Callithrix jacchus: one gene and its partners. The protein of the gene in region 4 interacts with the protein of the main gene of each other region in a pairwise test. Links are inferred from orthologs where the notes say so. Each region holds a gene or a part of one and is shown on either strand. Other genes may lie near its edges.

Region 1 (4,242 bases), on a different chromosome or scaffold from region 4:
CCCCCCCGCAAGGCAGAATCTCACTCTGTCGCCAGGTTGGAGTGCAGTGGTGTGATCTCAGCTCCCTGCAACCTCTGCCTCCTGGGTTCAAATGATTCTCTTGCCTCAGCCTCCCAAGAAGCTGGGATTACAGGCGCGCACCACCATGCCGGGCTAATTTTATCGTATGTTTAGTAGACATGGGGTTTCACCGTGTTAGCCAGGATGGTCTCGATCTCAGTTTCTTGAGTAGCTGAGATTACAAGCGCCCGCCGCCACGCCGAGCTAATTTTTTGTATTTTTAGTACAGATGAGGTTTCACCATGTTGGCCAGGCTGGTGTTGAACTCCTGACCTCAGGTGACCCACCTGCCTCGGCCTCCCAAATTGTTGGGATTACAGGCGTGAGCCACCGCACCGGGCCTACTTTCTAAACAAAGTGTATGAAAGCATTAACTTTAATGTTAACATCAGAATTTGAGAAAAAGTTTAGGCTGGGCGCAGTGGCTCAGGCCTATAATCCCAGCACTTTGGGAGGCCGAGGCGGGTGGATCACGAGGTCAAGAGCTCGAGACCATCTTGGTCAACATGGTGAAACCCCCGTCTCTACTAAAAATACAAAAATTAGCTGGGCATGGTGGTGCGTCCCTGTAGTCCCAACTACTCGGGTGGCTGAGACAGGAGAATTGCTTGAACCCAGAGGCCGAGATCGCGCCATTGCACTCCAGCCTGGGTAACAAGAGCGAAACTCCGCCTCAAAAAAAAAGAAAATTTAGTAACTCAAAATTTCGAGTAAAATAATACAGAACTCCACGTTTCTATCACTCACGGTAGGCTCCTGTCCCTTCCACCCCAGGGCAGGGACCCGTCTCAAGGACCCAGCCAGGTTTTGATACTTCAGTCCCCACTGGCCTGCTCGCTCCGACGGAGGGGCTCCTGTAACTGCGCTGTACCCTAAACATTTGCTGAATCGATTTGTCCTTTACTTGTTCCAATTTCGCTTTTTTTTTTTTTCAAGAACATAAGGTTTACAGAACCACACGCAGAAAAGGCAGGGTCAGGCCCGGACGCCCCGCCTTCTGCCTCCCGGCCCGGCGGTGCCCGGATGCCCGGCCTGAGCCCACGGCGCAGCCACATACAACCTCCGTCCCGTACTTCGCGCACTCTCCTGCACCGCCGCGGCCATTTCGCTCAAGAGCTCCTCCACGACCGCCGGCAACACAACGGCCATCGCTCCGCAGGACACACCGTCCTCAACAGGCAGACCGCAACAAAGCGCCAGCGGACAGCGCCGACATGCGGAGTATCCCGGCCGCTCGCCCACCGGGGCCCGGCGAGACCGAGTGACGTCGGCGTGCGTCATCGCGCGTGCGGACGCAACGATGTCTTGCTCAGTCGTTATGGTTCGGCCAATCCGGAGGGCGCTCGGCGCGGGGGCGGGGGCTAGGATCACGCTCGGCCTGCAGTGCGCAGAGGAAGCGGCTGGAGTATGTACCGGCTCCTGAGCCGGAGCTTGGGCCGAGGCCTCCTGCGGGCCGCGGCGCTGCGGTGCCGGGGCTGCTCCGCGCGCCTACTCCCGGGTCTGGCAGGAGGCCCGGGACTCGAGGTCCAGGTGCCGCTATCCCGAGTTGCGCCGCACGGCCGGGGCTCGGGCCTGCTGCCGCTGCTGGCAGGTGAGGGGCGCGGGCCGGGCGGGGCCTGCCGGGCGGGGACAGGGGCGCGGGCCGGGCCCGATGACCTCAGAGCCCCTTCCCGCAGCGCTCACCGGGTTTTCGAGCCCCGCTGCGACAGAAGAGGAGGAGCAGCAGGGAACCGACGGGGCGGACGAGGCTGAGGCCGAGATCATTCAGCTGCTGAAGCGAGCCAAGGTGAGGCGGCTTGGCCCGGCTGAGCGCGGTAGCCTTTGTGAGCGGGGTCCGGCGGCCTTGTCGCTGCGCATTACTCTCTCCGCCTCGCCGAAGAGTGGATGGAGGCTCCACGGGTAGAATTGCTGAGAATCAGTTGGGTCATCCGAGAGAGGACTGGAATTCTTCCAGGCTTTTCCGACTCTAAGGCCTGCAGTAATACCTCTGCAGTGTCAAGTGCAAATGGAGATGGCGCCCCAGGCGTCATCTTTTTATGCAAACGAAATATCGGGAACGTTTTGTAAATGTTTTTATCGATTAACCAGCCTAGCTGAAATGACATAATTTCGCACGCATATAGCGGCCTGAAAATGGCAGCTTAGTGTTGGTTATGCGATTCAGTTCTCTTTTGAATTTTTCCTTTTCTCCACATGCTTTTCTATTTTATTTTCTCCAAGTTATCTCATCTCTTTCATTGAGCTAAATATCTACTCGATGCCAACCACGTCCAAATTTGTATTCCCAGTAGTGTGTTACTGACATGTCATCTGCATTTTGGGACCTTACCTACCTCAGATTTAACAATGTCCCAAACTAAACTCCATCTTTAATGCCTCCTCAACATATGCTTTCACCATCTCTTTACTACCATCAATTTTTCAGCCTAGAAACCTCATAGTCATTCTTAAAACGTATGTTATCTTACCATTGCCTTCCAGTACTCTTACAGACCAGCAACAGGTCCTGTTTCCAACAAACGCAAAATATTTCTAAATATTTCTCAAATCTCCCTATTTCTCTATCTCCCCAGTGCAAACCATCACTGCCACCACCTATGCTCCAGTAGTCTTCCCTGCCCTCTTGTCTCCCTGCATTGTATTCTTGCAGAAACCAGAGTGACCAAAAAAAAAAAAAAAGTAAATTGTATCATATCATCTCCTTGCCTGAGAGCTCTAAATGGCTACTCACTGCATATATGATAAAATACAAACTCCTTGCCATGGCTTGCAACACCCCACATTATCTAAACCACATACCTTGCCCACCAGTTTGGCAATAATCCTCTGGCTCACCATCCTCCCTTCGCATTTGGTTCTTTCCATTTCTCCCCTAAAACCATTCTCTTCAGCTTATAGGGACTTCATTCATTCTCTACCCTCTCTGTTTGAGTTATTCTCCCCAGTTCCTTATTTGGTTGACTCATTCTCATCTTTCCTACCTCAGTTTAGCTGTCATGTTCTTGGAAGGCTAATCTAATTCCCATTTAGAGGAGGCCCCTATCATTTCTTTCTGTCATCTTTATAGCTCTTATTAGTTTTAATTAACCTTACTTGCTCTATGTGGTCACCTCCAGCCTGTAGGAAATTAGAGGATGAAGGACAAGCAACTTCCTTATAAAATTTGTTGTAAGATCACATTTCTTCTGCCCGAGTCTCTTGGCCAAAACTTCATCAGATGGCCACACCTAGCTGCAAGGGAGGCTTACCTCCCTGTCACCTCTGTAGACAATGCCTTGTACATAGTAGGAATGCAGTAAATGTCTGATGAATGAGTAGCTTCCTTCTATCAGTTGGAATGCATAGTTACATACACTTTTGTCTGGTAGCATATGCATCTACTTTATGTTTCATTTTCTGTTATTTTGTTTGTCTTCTCTTTTCAGTTGAGCATCATGAAAGATGAGCCAGAAGAGGCTGAGTTAATTTTGCATGACGCTCTTCGTCTCGCCTATCAGACTGATAACAAGAAGGCTATCACTTACACTTATGATCTGGTAACTCTTATCACCAGTCTGAACCACTGAGGAGAAAAGTTGGATGGAAGAGGAGGGTTGTTAGTTCTCCTGATTTATATTCCTGACTTTCATGATGTTCTAAGGCACGTTCCCCCCCCCACCCACCCGAGACAGTCTTGCTCTGTCGCCAGGCACCAGGCTGGAGTGCAATGGCGCGATCTCGGCTCACTGCAACCTCCGCCTCCCACTTCCAAGCAATTCTCCTGCCTCAGCCTCCTGGGTAGCTGGGACTACAGGCCCATGCCACCACACCCAGCTAAATTTTTTTGTATTTTTAGTAGAGATGGGGTTTCACCATGTTGGCCAGATGGTCTCGATCTCTTGACCTCGTGATCTGCCCACCTCGGCCTCCCAAAGTGCTGGGATTACAGGCTTGAGCCATTGCACCCAGCCGAAGCTCTTTTACTTTTTTACTGAATTTTCTTTTGTTTTTGTTTTTGAGATGGAGTCTTACTCTGTTACCCAGGCTGCATTTCAGTGGCACGATCTTGACTCACAGCAAACTCCGCCTTGTGAGCTCAAACAATTCATGTGCCTCAGCCTCATGAGTAGCTGGGATTACAGATGTGCACCACTATGCCTGGCTAATTTTTGTATTGTAGTAGAGACAAGGTTTCATCATATT
Region 2 (4,167 bases), on a different chromosome or scaffold from region 4:
TCCTGTAAAATGGTTAACCATCAGGATTGATTGATTCCTCATGATGGCAGGTGTTTTGTGTTTTTTTTTTTTGACGCGGAGTTAATTGTTGCCCAGGCTGGAGTGCAATGGCGCGGTCTCCGCTCACCCCAACCTCCACCTCCCAGGTTCAAGCGATTCTCCTGCCTTAGCCTTCTGAGTAGCTGGGATTACAAGCATGCTCCACCATGCCCTGCTAATTTTGTATTTTTAGTAGAGACGGTATTTCTCCATGTTGGTAAGGCTGGTCTCAAAACTCCTGACCTCAGGTGATCAGCACTCCTCGGCCTCCCAAAGTGCTGGGATTGCTGGTGTGAGCCACTGGGCCCGGCTGATGGCAATGTTTTTAATCCAAAGGGATGAATGGGTGGTAATGTAATTTTGGGTGCCACTTTTGGGGCCGATTGGAGGAATTTTCACGTTAAATATACAGCAATAACGTCATCTTGGAGGAAATTCCTAGCTTCCTGAGGGAATCGGTGAAAGGAAGTAGCCTTTTACTGGCATTTACTGAGATTCAGGGTGCGAAGAAGTCGGCTTTGGGGGTAGGTAGAGAATAAATACCAGTGAATTTATACAAGCCACGTTGTCCTGGTTTTCTTGCCCTTTGGCGGTGGATTTGGTCGTGCCTTGGGGTGGTGGAAGAACTGAATGGGCTTAATTCGCAAAGGTCAGCTCAATTATGAAGTATGAAGACAGGTCGCGGCGGGCAGGCAGGTGGCGCTGACCACCAGGCTGAGGAGCCCGTAGGATCCGGGGGCCCGCGAAAGCAAAGCACTGAGGTGGCGGGGTTTGCTGGAGAGTGACAATGTGCGGAAGGACCTGTTACTGCGGGAGCGGGAGCGGGAGCTCAGCGCTCAGAGTCAGAGACGAGGGTGAATCAGCAGCTCTGGGAGGGCTCCAAAATGGGCTTGGCTGAGTGCGCAGCCACAGCAGACGCGCCTCGAGAGAGCGCATAAAACCCGGCAAAGCCAAAGTGCGTTATCAGCCGCTGGTCTCTTGGGAGGCTCCCACCTGCCAGACCACCAGTGCCTCGCGCCCAGATAAATCTTGAGCACTCAGCCCCCGCCCCACCCGCCGCTCCTGGAACTCCACCTTCCAGAAGGCAGCGAGAACCGCATGTGTGGCTAATCTGTAAGCCGGAAAAGAGTTGCGCACGCGCAGAGAGGGCGGCCCAGCGCAGACTCAGCGCCTCTCCTCTGGGCCCCGCTCGCCCCGCCCACCGGGCTCCTTGCACTCCGCTCCTTTCTTGTATCACCGCTACGCATGCGCCTTGCAAGGAGGGGCGAGATTTCGGGGACAGGGCCGGGGGCGGGCCTAGGCCAGGGGCTCACAGCGACTGCGCGGACGGGTTCTCAACTGGAACATGGCGACTTGCGCCGAAATCCTGCGGAGCGAGTTCCCCGAAATTGACGGACAGGTCTTCGACTACGTGACGGGTAAGCAGAACTGAATCAGCTGGCTGAGGACACCAAAGTGGAGGCCGGGGGAAAGCCTAAGCGAGCGTCGTGCCGGGGACTGTTGCCAGGCCTCTCCTCGGCGTGACCTCTTGTCCCGGGGGCCGGTTGGGTCTGGAACCTGGACTGGGGCCGCTGTTTGGGGAAACTGCTTGTGTGTCCTCCCTACCTGATACCTTCCTCGTTCTGCCACGCCCTGCGCAGGCGTCTTGCACAGCGGCAGCTCGGACTTTGAGTCTGTGGATGACCTGGTGGAAGCTGTGGGGGAACTATTGCAAGAGGTGTCCGGGGACAGCAAGGATGACGCGGGCATCAGGGCCGTGTGCCAGCGCATGTACAACACTCTGCGCCTGTATGTGCCGGGCAGTAGGGGTTGATGGGGGCGAAGGGAGGGCGAACGGTCCGGAGACAAGAGGTGGGGGAAGAAGGTCTGACGGCCGTAGAGCTTTTCCCTCAACTGCTAACTTTGCGCTTTCTCTCCCTACCTACATAGGGCTGAACCACAGAGCCAGGGAAATAGCCAGGTGCTACTGGACGCCCCCATCCAGTTGTCAAAGATAACGGAGAACTACGGTGAGAGTGAGGGGAGATTCAACTAACTGCCCTCTGTCCTTTTCTCTGCCCCTACCCATCTGCCCCCTGCAGCTTAGAGCTCCTACTGCGTCTTTTCCACAGGACAGGGTTGTAGGAGCTAGTTGATGTCCTTACCGAGGGCAGAAGAGTCCATGGTCGGGGGGAGGCTGTTGTTGGAGGGTTCTCCTAGCCCTTGGGTATGGTAGGAAGCATAGGAGCCTGGAACTGGACAGACTTGGTTTCACTCGCCCATTTTCCAGCTTACTAACCAGCTGCATGATCTTTTTAGAGTTGGTTATCTGTCCCCACCCCCTCCTATGCTTCTGTATTCTTTTACGTGAGGTTTGTTTGTTTATGTTTTTTAAGTGCAGGGAAGATAATAGCCGTCTATCTCCAGGATTATAAAGCTTTGTAGAAAACGTCTGTGTCTGTGCCTGGTTCATATTAGTCACTCAAAGTGTTAGTTTCCCTTCCCTCAGGGAGAAGGTGACTGCTTTTCTTATCGCTTACAGACTGTGGAACCAAACTTCCAGGACTGCTAAAGAGGGAACAGTCCTCGGTGAGGAGGAGGAAGCAAGGGAGGGAGTGTGTGATGGGGTTGGGAATGGACTGTCTAATTGGAGGATCTTTTGGGGGGATTTCTGACTGTGTCTTTCCCTGAGCCTTTGAGTCCGTTCATCTTGGGTAAGTTAAGAGGGTTTACTTGAGGTGTTCTCTCTTCGGGTTCCTTACTGAGCCTACACCCTAGAGTGAAGTCAATGTGTTTGGATCCTTAGACAGTGAATGCAAAGAAGCTTGAGAAGGCTGAGGCTCGACTTAAGGCAAAGCAGGAGAAGCGGTCAGAGAAGGACATGCTCAAGACCAGCAACCCTCTGTGAGTGGAGAAAGCATGGCTCAGAAGAGAGCAGAGTAGTGTCTGCCTGGACTGGTGGGGAGCACTAAGAGCTGTCCATTTCTCCCTTTAAAGAGTCTTAGAAGAGGCATCAGCTAGCCAGGCAGGCAGCAGAAAGGAGAGTCGATTGGAATCATCTGGCAAGAACAAATCCTATGATGTGCGAATTGAGAACTTCGATGTGTCCTTCGGGGACAGGTGAGGGAATCGTGGGGGCGGGACTTGGCTTTCTTTTTCTAATTAGGGGAAAATTTAGAGAGATGAAATGGGGCTACAAACAATGTTAGGTTTATCGTTAACTTTCTGTGCACCTGTTTTTAGAGCATCTTTGGTCTCCTTTCTCCACCCCTGCAGAGTACTGCTGGCTGGAGCTGATGTGAACCTGGCATGGGGCCGCCGTTATGGGCTGGTGGGGCGGAATGGGCTGGGGAAGACCACGTTACTGAAGATGCTGGCCACCCGGAGTCTCCGGGTTCCAGCCCACATTTCCCTGCTGCACGTTGAGCAAGAGGTTGCTGGAGATGACACCCCTGCCCTACAGAGTGTGCTGGAGAGTGACAGTGTGCGGGAGAGCCTGTTACGGCGGGAGCAGGAACTCAGCACCCAGATTGCTGCTGGCAGGTGAGGGCTTCAGGCTAGAGAGTAACTAGCAGCTGCTGGCCCTCACAGAGTGCCTGCCCTGCTGGAATAATCCACCATTTGCATGTGCATACTAGTAATCAACAGAGCTTAGAACTTGGCACTCTGGCACTCAGCAGCCCTTGTTCTTTCCACAGTGCCCATTGCCCTCATTCCCTTGAGCAGATCCTTCCTCTATTCTCTTCCTCTTGTAGCCAGTGGCCTCTTTCCAGCTGTATAGGGCACAGGACATCCTCCTAGACTGCCCCCACTTAGGCCATTTGCTGTTTCTCCTCCCTCCAGGGTGGAGGGCTCTGAAGCTGCAGAACTGGCAGAAATCTATGCCAAACTGGAGGAGATTGAGGCTGACAAGGCACCTGCCAGGTATATCAAACTCCCCTCCCTCCAGATTTCCTTTCCCTTCTGTGGACTGTTCCACTTGACTTCTTCAGTTTCTTCCCTCCTAGGGCATCAGTCATTCTCGCTGGGCTTGGCTTTACCCCTAAAATGCAGCAGCAGCCTACCCGGTGAGTGACCCTTGCCATTCTTGGCTTTGAACCCTGTTGACTCAGCCCCTTTCTGACCTGATGAACACCCACCCCTAATGTG
Region 3 (4,164 bases), on a different chromosome or scaffold from region 4:
AAAAGATGTTAAATTAGAGAAATAAACCGTAACATGTAAATACAATTTTTTTCACATGCCTATAATCCCAACACTTTGGTAGCGAAGAAGAATCCCTTGAACACAAAAGTTTTAAAATCAACATAAGACACCACCTCTACCAAAAATACAAAAATTAGCAGGGTGTGCTGGCGACTGCCTGTGGTCCCAGATACTCTGGCAGCTCAGGTGGGAGGATCACTTGAGCACAGGAGGATCTCGGCAGCGAGCTGAGAGCACACCACTGCACTCCAGTCTGGGCAAAAAAGCGAGACCTGTCTCAAAATGTAACTAAAAAAAAAATTTTTTTTTTATAGAGACAGGGTCAGTGTCTGCGGCCCAGGCTGGTCTCCAACTCGTGGGCCCAAGCGATCCTACTCGGCCTCCTTAACTGCTGGGACTACAAGCGGGAGCCACAGCGCCCGGCCTATAATGACGCTAATGATCTAAAGGATGCATGAGGAACGTAATATCTACAAGGCAAAAAATCTTCTTGCTTAGGAATAAAGCACTCTCTTAATGTTCATCAAAAGTAACAATGTCTTATTTTATGATTTAGAAATTCTGTCTAGAAGAGCAAGCAGAGGTCACTTTTCAGGGCTCGCACTTATGGCATCTTTCGCCTACCTGGAAAACCCAAGAAATTTTCATCTTACTAGGAATTAAGAGACAAATACACACTCAACTTTTTAAAATGTAAGTAGAATTATACATGCATATTTTTGGAAGAATTAAGATGACTTGTGGAACAGAACGACTACAAAGACTACGCTTTCAGAACTCCCTGCTGCCTGAGGCTGCGGCCCTGACCCCGGCACAGAGCCCGCCCCGCGCGGTTCCGGGAAGCCGCCGCCGCCCGTTGCCCTTCGCGCGCAGCCGCCAGCGCGCGCCTCCTGTCCCGCCACGCAGCTGGCCGGTCCGAGCCCCCGGTGCCCAAGAGCAGTTTCAAGAACTTAACAGCCATTTTAGTTCGTCCCCGGGTCGCTAGGAGACCGAAAAGCCGCAGCGAAGGGCGCCCCGCGGGCGACGGCCGAGTCCGGCTCTCCTTCCGCCCTCCCGCTGGGACCCACGCGGCGCCGAGCGGAGGTCCCTGGCGCCTGGGGGGAGGGGTTCCCGCGACCAGGGCGGTCTGGCTGGTAGGGCGAGTCTGGCGCCCCGCTCCTCAGAACTCTAGTCCACGACTCCGAGGTCGGGAGAGCGGGGCGCCAGCGCAGCGCGACCTAGGCCCGGTCCACAAGTTTTCTAGAAGCAGGGCGGAATCGACGAAAATACTTCAAACTAGCAAAAAAAAAAAAAAGGACAACTAAGCCGAAGAGCAGGTATGAGTCGAAGATTTCCACCCCAAATACAAACACCATACCTCTAGGAACTGGAGACTAACCCAGAGACTGCGCTCCGAGAACACGCGGCGCTGCCGAGGAGGAAAAAGAGCCCAGGGCGGAGAGTGAGGGCTGAGGGAACCGGGCGTGGGAGGAGGGCGGAGCCAGCTTCCTGCCAGAGTCTATTGCAACTCCGGCGCCTGCGGCCACGTGAGCGCACGGCTTTCATTTTACTCAGGTATTACTACTCTTGAGACTAGGTCTCACTCCCGTCAGCCAGGCTGGAATGCCGCGGCACTATCACTGGTCACTGCAGTCTCGACCTCTCCGGCGCAAGCGACCCTCCCGCCTTAGCCTCCCGAGTAGCTGGGACAACAGGCGCGCGCCACCACGCGTAAATTTTTCTTTTAATTTTTAGCAGAGACGGAGTTTAACTATCTTGACCAGGTTGGTCGGGAACTCCTGGGCTCAAGACATCTTCCCGCCTGGGCCTCCCGCCGCGCCAAGCCTGTTCTCACTTTCAGAGCCCTCCGACGGTCGCCAGCGCTCCACCAGGAGGCCCGGCTATAACGCACCCGGCCGGCCATGTCTTCCCAGCCACCCGACTCCAAAATCTCAGGCCGCGGTGCTCACCCCGTGGGACCAGTGTCTGGGCGTACGGCTCTCTACCTACGACGCTGCGCCTCCCGACCCCAGTGGAGCCAGTCCTCGCCGGTCCCATGTACCGGCGCCTCGACCTCGAATCCCGTCAACCCAAATCTCAGCCCCTCAGTATGTGCAATCCTCCCTCGGCCCCAGATGTGCGGCGCTTGAACTCGGATCTCGCTTCCCTAATCCCAAATCTCAGGCCCAGCCCCACAATCCCCACCCCACTAGGCCCAATCGCCAGGGTGCGGGTACGCGGCCCCGGACCTCGAGTGATCTCCCGAATCTCAAATCCCAGCCCCACGGTCTCCACCCCCAGAGTACTCGGTCCCCGCTCGGTCCCGGGTGGCCGCCCCTCACCTCGGCCTCCGAGTCTCTACGTTCCCGCTCTCACATCAGGAACCCTGGTCGTCCCTCGGAGCACCTAGCGGAGGGTGAAAAGCGGGGAACTTGGCAGTTGTAGCTGTGGCAGTTGAGGCTTGTTGACCATCACCATGGAAACCCCCGGCTGCGAGCACGGGGCGGGGCCTAACAGAGGCGGGGGCAGGAACGCGACCGGTCCCAGTCCTCAGGGCCTGCCTGTCGAGTGCACGCGGCTTTGCCGGAAGCCCTCCTGCTCCCGGCGTGCCAGGCGCCGGCTAGGCCCTACTCCCCGGCTCGGCCCTTCGCCCTGGACACCTGGAAACAGAAACCCAAAGAGCCCGCGTCCCCACCCCGCTGCTACCTGCCGGCGTGACCGCAATTCGGTGCCCCAAGAACCTCACCTTAAGGAAGACGCGGCGCAGGCCTCCTTCCACGACGGACCGGAAAGACGCAAGGACCGCGGCAGGGTGGAGCCTTTGCGTATGGCTTCCGGGGGCGGGGCCGCGACGACGCTATTGTGACGCGCCCAGCGGGGAGCCGTCGATTGGGCGGCAGGCCGCAGGGCGGAGCCGACACTGGGGTGGGGGCAGGGGAGGCCGCGGAGACTCTTGAGCCCGGACGTTTCTGGAGAAGACAGGGGAGGGGAGGGGACGGGAGGAGGAAGAGGGAGTGGAGCGGCGGGAAAGATCCCTCTTACTTCCGCTGACTCCCTGGAGGAACGACAGTGGTGAGACTCGCAGGACTCTGAAATGTGCGCCGAAAGGACGCCTGATTTGAAGACTGGGCTGAAAGAAGGAAATGAGAGCCGATTCCCGGGCGTGGTGGTGCATGCCTGTGGTCCCAGTAATTTGGGAGGCTGAGGCGGGAGAATCACTTGAGCCCGGGAAGTCAAGGATGCAGTTTAGCCCTGAGTGCTCCACTGCCTCCAGCCTGGGCGTCAGAGCGAGACGCTGTCTCAAAAAAAATTTTTTAAGGAAAAAAATACACTGAGGGCAGGGCGCAGTGCCTCACTCCTGTAATCCCAGCACTTTGGGAGGCGGAGGGGGGCGGATCACGAGGTCAGGAGATCCAGGCCAGCCTGGCCAACATGGTGAAACCCCGTCTCTACTAAAATACAAAAAAAAAGGACGGCGTAATGGCGCGCGCCTGTAGTCCCAGCTACTCGGGAGTCTGAGGCAGGTGAATCGCTTGAACCCAAAAGGTGGAGGTTGCAGTGAGGCGAGATTGCGCTACTGCACTCCAACCTGGCAACCGAGTGAGACTCCGTCTCAAAAAAAAAAAAAAGCCGGGTGCGGTGGCTCAAGCCTGTAATCCCAGCACTTTGGGAGGCCGAGGCGGGTGGATCACGAGGGCAAGAGATCGAGACCATCCTGGTCAACATGGTGAAACCCCGTCTCTACTAAAAATACAAAAAATTAGCTGGGCATGGTGGCGCATACCTGTAATCCCAGCTACTCAGGAGGCTGAGGCAGGAGAATTGCCTGAACCGAGGAGGCCGAGGTTGTGGTGAGCCGAGATGGCGCCATTGCACTCCAGCCTGGGTAACAAGAGCGAAACTCTGTCTCAAAAATAAAAATAAATAAATAATAAAAATAAAACAGGCCGGGCGCGGTGGCTCACGCCTGTAATCCCAGCACTTTGGGAGACTGAAGCAGGCAGATCACGAGATTGAGACCATCCTGGCCAACATGGTAAAACCCTGTCTCTACTAAAAAATACAAAAATTAGCTGGGCATGGTGGCTGTCCACCTGTAGTCCCAGCTACTAGGGAGGCTGCTGCAGGAGAATTGCTTGAAACAGGAGGCGGAGACCAGTGAGC
Region 4 (4,068 bases):
CTTTGCTATAAGAGGGTCTGGGCTGTCTGTAAAGTGAAGCTGTGCCTCCCATTGTAAGTCTTAATTAAGAAGGTAAACAAGGCCAGGTGTGGTGGTTCATGCCTGTAATCCTAGCACTTTGGGAGACCAAGGTGGGTAGATCACTTGAAGTCAGGAGTTTGAGACCATCCTGGCCAACATGGTGAAATCCTGTCTCTACTAAAAATACAAAAATTAGCTGGGTGTGGTGGCACATGCCTGTAGTCTTAGCTACTTGGGAGGCTGACGCAGAATGGCTTGAACCTAGGAGGTGAGGTTGCAGTAACTGAGATCCTGCCATTGCACTCCAGCCTGGGCGACAGAGCGAGACTCTGCCTCGAAAAAAAAAAAAAGAAAAGAAGAGGAAAGTAAACTAAGGGCTTGTTCCCTGAAAATAGACACGGTCTCCCTTCCCTTGAGACTCCCTGCACCTCAAGTCAATGGGAATGAATAGGCACATAGAGATAGGCTCTCCCCGAATGGGAAGTTCTGGATATCACATATCCACATGCTCCCCATACCAGAATCTTCATCCTCGACCTGCTTTCAATTTTTCCATAGAATTTAGCATCTTTGTGCCAGGTATAGTAGCCAATGCCTATAATCCCAGCACTTTGCAAGGCTGAGGTGGGCAGCTCACCTGAGGTCAGGCATTCGAGACTAGCCTGGCCAACATGGCAAAACGCTGTTTCTACTAAAAATACAAAAAAAAATTAACTGGGTATGGTGGTAAACGCCTGTAATCCCAGCTACTCAGGAGGCTGAGGCAGGAGAATCGCTTGAACCAGGAGGTGGAGGTTGCAGTGAGGCGAGATCACCGCCATTGCACTCCAGCCTGCCTGAGAGATGAAAGCAACACTCCATCTCAAAAAAAAAAAAAAAAAAAAAATTAGCATCTTCTAGCATACATTATAATTTACTTATGTTCTATGTTTAGTGTTTATTTTTGTCTGTCTCTACACACCTCTCCCACTAGAAGATAAACTTCAGAGGGCTGGAGTTACTGTTTGGTTCACTGCTGGATTCCAAACGCCTAAAATAGTGTCTGGCACGCAGTAGGTGCTCAAGAAATATTTGTTGAAGGAACAAATGCTAAAGGGAAGGGATTGATGGAACAAAAGTTTCCTGGGTCAGGCCCAGGTTCCTGCCTTGTTACCTGGTTTCTCCTCAAACAAACAGAGGTGGGTGGGGAGTGGCCCTGAGCACGCAGCCTGCAGGCTTTCAGATTGGGTTCAGGCTGGGCCGTGGGTGAGAGGGCGCAGTGCTCAGCCTGGCAGTCGATCCCCCCGTGGCCATGGCATTCAGAGGGCCTGAACCCTGGGTCTCTACATCCCTGCTGAGCCGGAGACTGAAGGCAGAGGAGAAGACCCTGGATCTAGAGTTCGAAGTTTTGAGCGTGGGGTTTAATGAGGGGGGTAGATATGCCCTGAGACTGTCAGCTGAGAACCCCTTGCAGGCGGGCTCTGGGGCTGGGGTGCAGTTGCAAGTGAATGATGGGGATCCCCTCCATGCCTGCTCTGTTGTCACTGATGTCATTGAGCAGCAGGAACCTGGCCACAGTCTCACCCTCACCAGGAACAAGTTTATCTTTACTTTGCCCAAAGGTATGAAGTGGGGGTGGGGCTTGGGGGAGAGAAAGACCCTGGAACCCCTGCCTCAGCCCCACTCTGGGACCCCAGAGAGCCTGAGGAGAACTGGGAGGGGTGGGGCTCCAGACTGCATGCCAAAGCTCTGCTGGTGTGACCTTGGGCAAATTCTGGGCCTCTGTGACCCCTGCCTCCTTCAGTGTGGCCTGGGAACTGGACGCTGATGTCCATCACGCAAGGTCAGGTGAGAAGGAAATAGAAGCGCAGATGAGAGATGGCTTTGTAAATATAAGAGCTCTGATCATACGGTGGGTTTGGGGGCCAGTCCTCGGCAGTGGACATCACACTGAGTAACGTTAGACTCAGCCCCTTGAGTGCCTGGCCCTGATCCCCACTTGATTGTGGGCATGGGGGTGTGGACAGAAATGAGGGGACCCAGGGCCCAGGACACCTGGGCCCTGCCTTCTGGAACTTCCAAAGCAGGTGAAGGGACAGGAACTTCAAGCAGAGAGAAGTAACGTGAGCTGGAATGAGAAGGAGATCTATACCTAGACTGTGAGGTCACCCCAGCAGGCTGCCTGGAGGAGGAGGGATGTGGGGGAATGGGGAAACCAGGTCACAGACTTTAAGTGGCCATAAATCAGGGGCAGGCTGAACTCTTCCCAAGTCTAAGAGTCGAGGTTGGTAGCAGGACCTGGGATCATCCCACAGGCTAAGCCCTCCCTTCCTCACCTCTGCTGGGTGGGCTTGGATTGGGTATCAGCAAAGGGAGGGAGTCCAGGGAGGGTTTCTCTGCAAATGCTGGGGGCCTAGGAGGGAGTCGCCCACCAGGGAAATCTTAGCCAAGACTGCTTGGCTTCCACTCGAAGGCTGGGCAGCCCAGGTTTCCCCAGGGCCCTGCCTGTCCTCCTAGTCCCCCAGCAGATGCAGAGAAACCTGAGACCATCTCTGAGCCCCGTGTTCCCTCATCCAGGTTTCTGCAAGAATGATGGGCAGCATGACGCTCAGCTGCGCGTGGAGGCGCTGAGGCTGGACGAACCCTCAGGATGGACGACCCAGCGGGTGGGTGAGGCCATCTTCCCCATCTACCCGAGGCCGGACCAACCCCGCATGAACCCGGAGGCTCGGGACCATGAGGACCTGTACCGCTACTGTGGCAACCTGGCGCTGCTCCGGGCCAGCACGGACCCCACAGCCCGCCACTGTGGGGGCCTGGCCTACAGTGTGGCCTTCCACGTGCACCGGGACCTTCAGCCCCCAATCTCAGACAGCACTCTGGGGGCTGGCCAGCCAGAACGGATGTCACCATGCCCAGAGCCCCAGCTCCCCAAGCTGCAGGTGGGTGCTTCCCATGTCCTCGTTCAGATTTGGGCTCACTGGGCACAAGACCCAACCTCCCTGATAAGCCAGGCTAGCGCCTCTCCTGAGCTGAGCAGAGCAGCAGAGGAGCTCCCAAGGCTGCCACCTTCAGTCTGGGGAACATGCAGTCTGAGAATGGACACAGGAGTCCCAGTTTGAAGGGACAGACAGAAAATGGGCAAAGGCCACACAAATCAGGTAGCCAACTAAGTGGGGTTTCTTTTGCCCTGTGGGTTAGTGACCCCTGAGCCCCTTCAGTTCCCAACCTTGTTCTCACCAGATTTTGCGGAAGGCCCCAGGTAACCAGGGAACACAAATGTCTTCTGTGTGCCCATCCTCAAGCCCATCCAGCATCCACCCTGCCCAGGAGGGGCTTGGCTCCAACCCAGGACCCAGGTGAGAGGGTCTAGTCCTTATCCAAAATATAGGAGGCTTCTCCCCTATGGCCATGCTCTGTGACGAGAGAGTGTGTCTGGTAGGCTTCACGGCCAGCGCAGATAGCAGCTGGTAGAGCGAGTAGTCACCCATTTGACAGGTGGAGAAACAGGCCCAAGGTACGCTTGACTCCACTTAATGTCAACAGCATTTCCTGGAGACTTCAGTGCATAATAGTGCACAGGATCCAAAACTGATCAGCCCCTAAGCTCAGGGGGTCGCCTGGCTTGAAGACAGTTGGGTATAGTGAGGGCATCATCCATGGTCCTGTAGGGCATGGCTGGCTGGCAGGAGAGTTCTGGTGAGGGAGTGTGCATGTCGGATTTTGGTGCCTGGGAATGGCTTCTTGGAAGAGGGGTCGTTTGAGATGAATCTTCCCATTTATTCATTCATTTACTCTTTAATCCATTAATTCATCCATCAAACATTTGTTAAATGCCAACTTTGCCGACTGCATGCTACGAGGGTGAGATTTAGGGACAGCAATCCTGGGCTCTGGGGAGGGTGTTCCAGGAGGAGGGACCACAATGCACTAGGTAAGGAAAAGGGGGAGGTTCGGCTGGCAGCAGAGGATAAGCTGAGGTTGGAGCCTGCAGCTGACAAGCAGAGACGCCTGGCCCACCTGTGGAGTCTCTCTCCCTGGAGATGGGAGAAAGTGGAGGGGGTCGAG

Evidence for each region.
Region 1: the proteins of CCDC33 (region 4) and TTC19 interact in a two-hybrid assay, tested with the Homo sapiens proteins (2 studies listed by BioGRID and IntAct). The two-hybrid records come from large-scale screens. The link is inferred for Callithrix jacchus from reciprocal best matches to the Homo sapiens genes CCDC33 and TTC19.
Region 2: the proteins of CCDC33 (region 4) and ABCF3 interact in a two-hybrid assay, tested with the Homo sapiens proteins (2 studies listed by BioGRID and IntAct). The two-hybrid records come from large-scale screens. The link is inferred for Callithrix jacchus from reciprocal best matches to the Homo sapiens genes CCDC33 and ABCF3.
Region 3: the proteins of CCDC33 (region 4) and HNRNPF interact in a two-hybrid assay, tested with the Homo sapiens proteins (3 studies listed by BioGRID). The two-hybrid records come from large-scale screens. The link is inferred for Callithrix jacchus from reciprocal best matches to the Homo sapiens genes CCDC33 and HNRNPF.

What each region holds. Positions count from the first base shown.
Region 1 is NC_133506.1:84,645,308-84,649,549, reverse strand, and holds the start of TTC19 (tetratricopeptide repeat protein 19, mitochondrial), read left to right. Parts: upstream 1-1,442; 5' UTR 1,443-1,467; coding exon 1,468-1,651; intron 1,652-1,736; coding exon 1,737-1,846; intron 1,847-3,485; coding exon 3,486-3,596; intron 3,597-4,242. Other genes in the region: ZSWIM7 (zinc finger SWIM domain-containing protein 7), read right to left, coding at 808-940. UniProt on the Homo sapiens protein: Required for the preservation of the structural and functional integrity of mitochondrial respiratory complex III by allowing the physiological turnover of the Rieske protein UQCRFS1.
Region 2 is NC_133516.1:13,170,522-13,174,688, forward strand, and holds the start of ABCF3 (ATP-binding cassette sub-family F member 3), read left to right. Parts: upstream 1-1,367; 5' UTR 1,368-1,384; coding exon 1,385-1,457; intron 1,458-1,679; coding exon 1,680-1,827; intron 1,828-1,968; coding exon 1,969-2,048; intron 2,049-2,560; coding exon 2,561-2,607; intron 2,608-2,824; coding exon 2,825-2,922; intron 2,923-3,015; coding exon 3,016-3,138; intron 3,139-3,294; coding exon 3,295-3,561; intron 3,562-3,861; coding exon 3,862-3,942; intron 3,943-4,025; coding exon 4,026-4,085; intron 4,086-4,167.
Region 3 is NC_133513.1:36,094,541-36,098,704, forward strand, and holds the start of HNRNPF (heterogeneous nuclear ribonucleoprotein F), read right to left. Parts: upstream 2,801-4,164; 5' UTR 2,747-2,800; intron 2,407-2,746; 5' UTR 2,343-2,406; intron 1,453-2,342; exon of another isoform or gene 1-1,452.
Region 4 is NC_133509.1:21,056,774-21,060,841, forward strand, and holds the start of CCDC33 (coiled-coil domain-containing protein 33), read left to right. Parts: upstream 1-1,268; 5' UTR 1,269-1,312; coding exon 1,313-1,622; intron 1,623-2,577; coding exon 2,578-2,913; intron 2,914-4,068.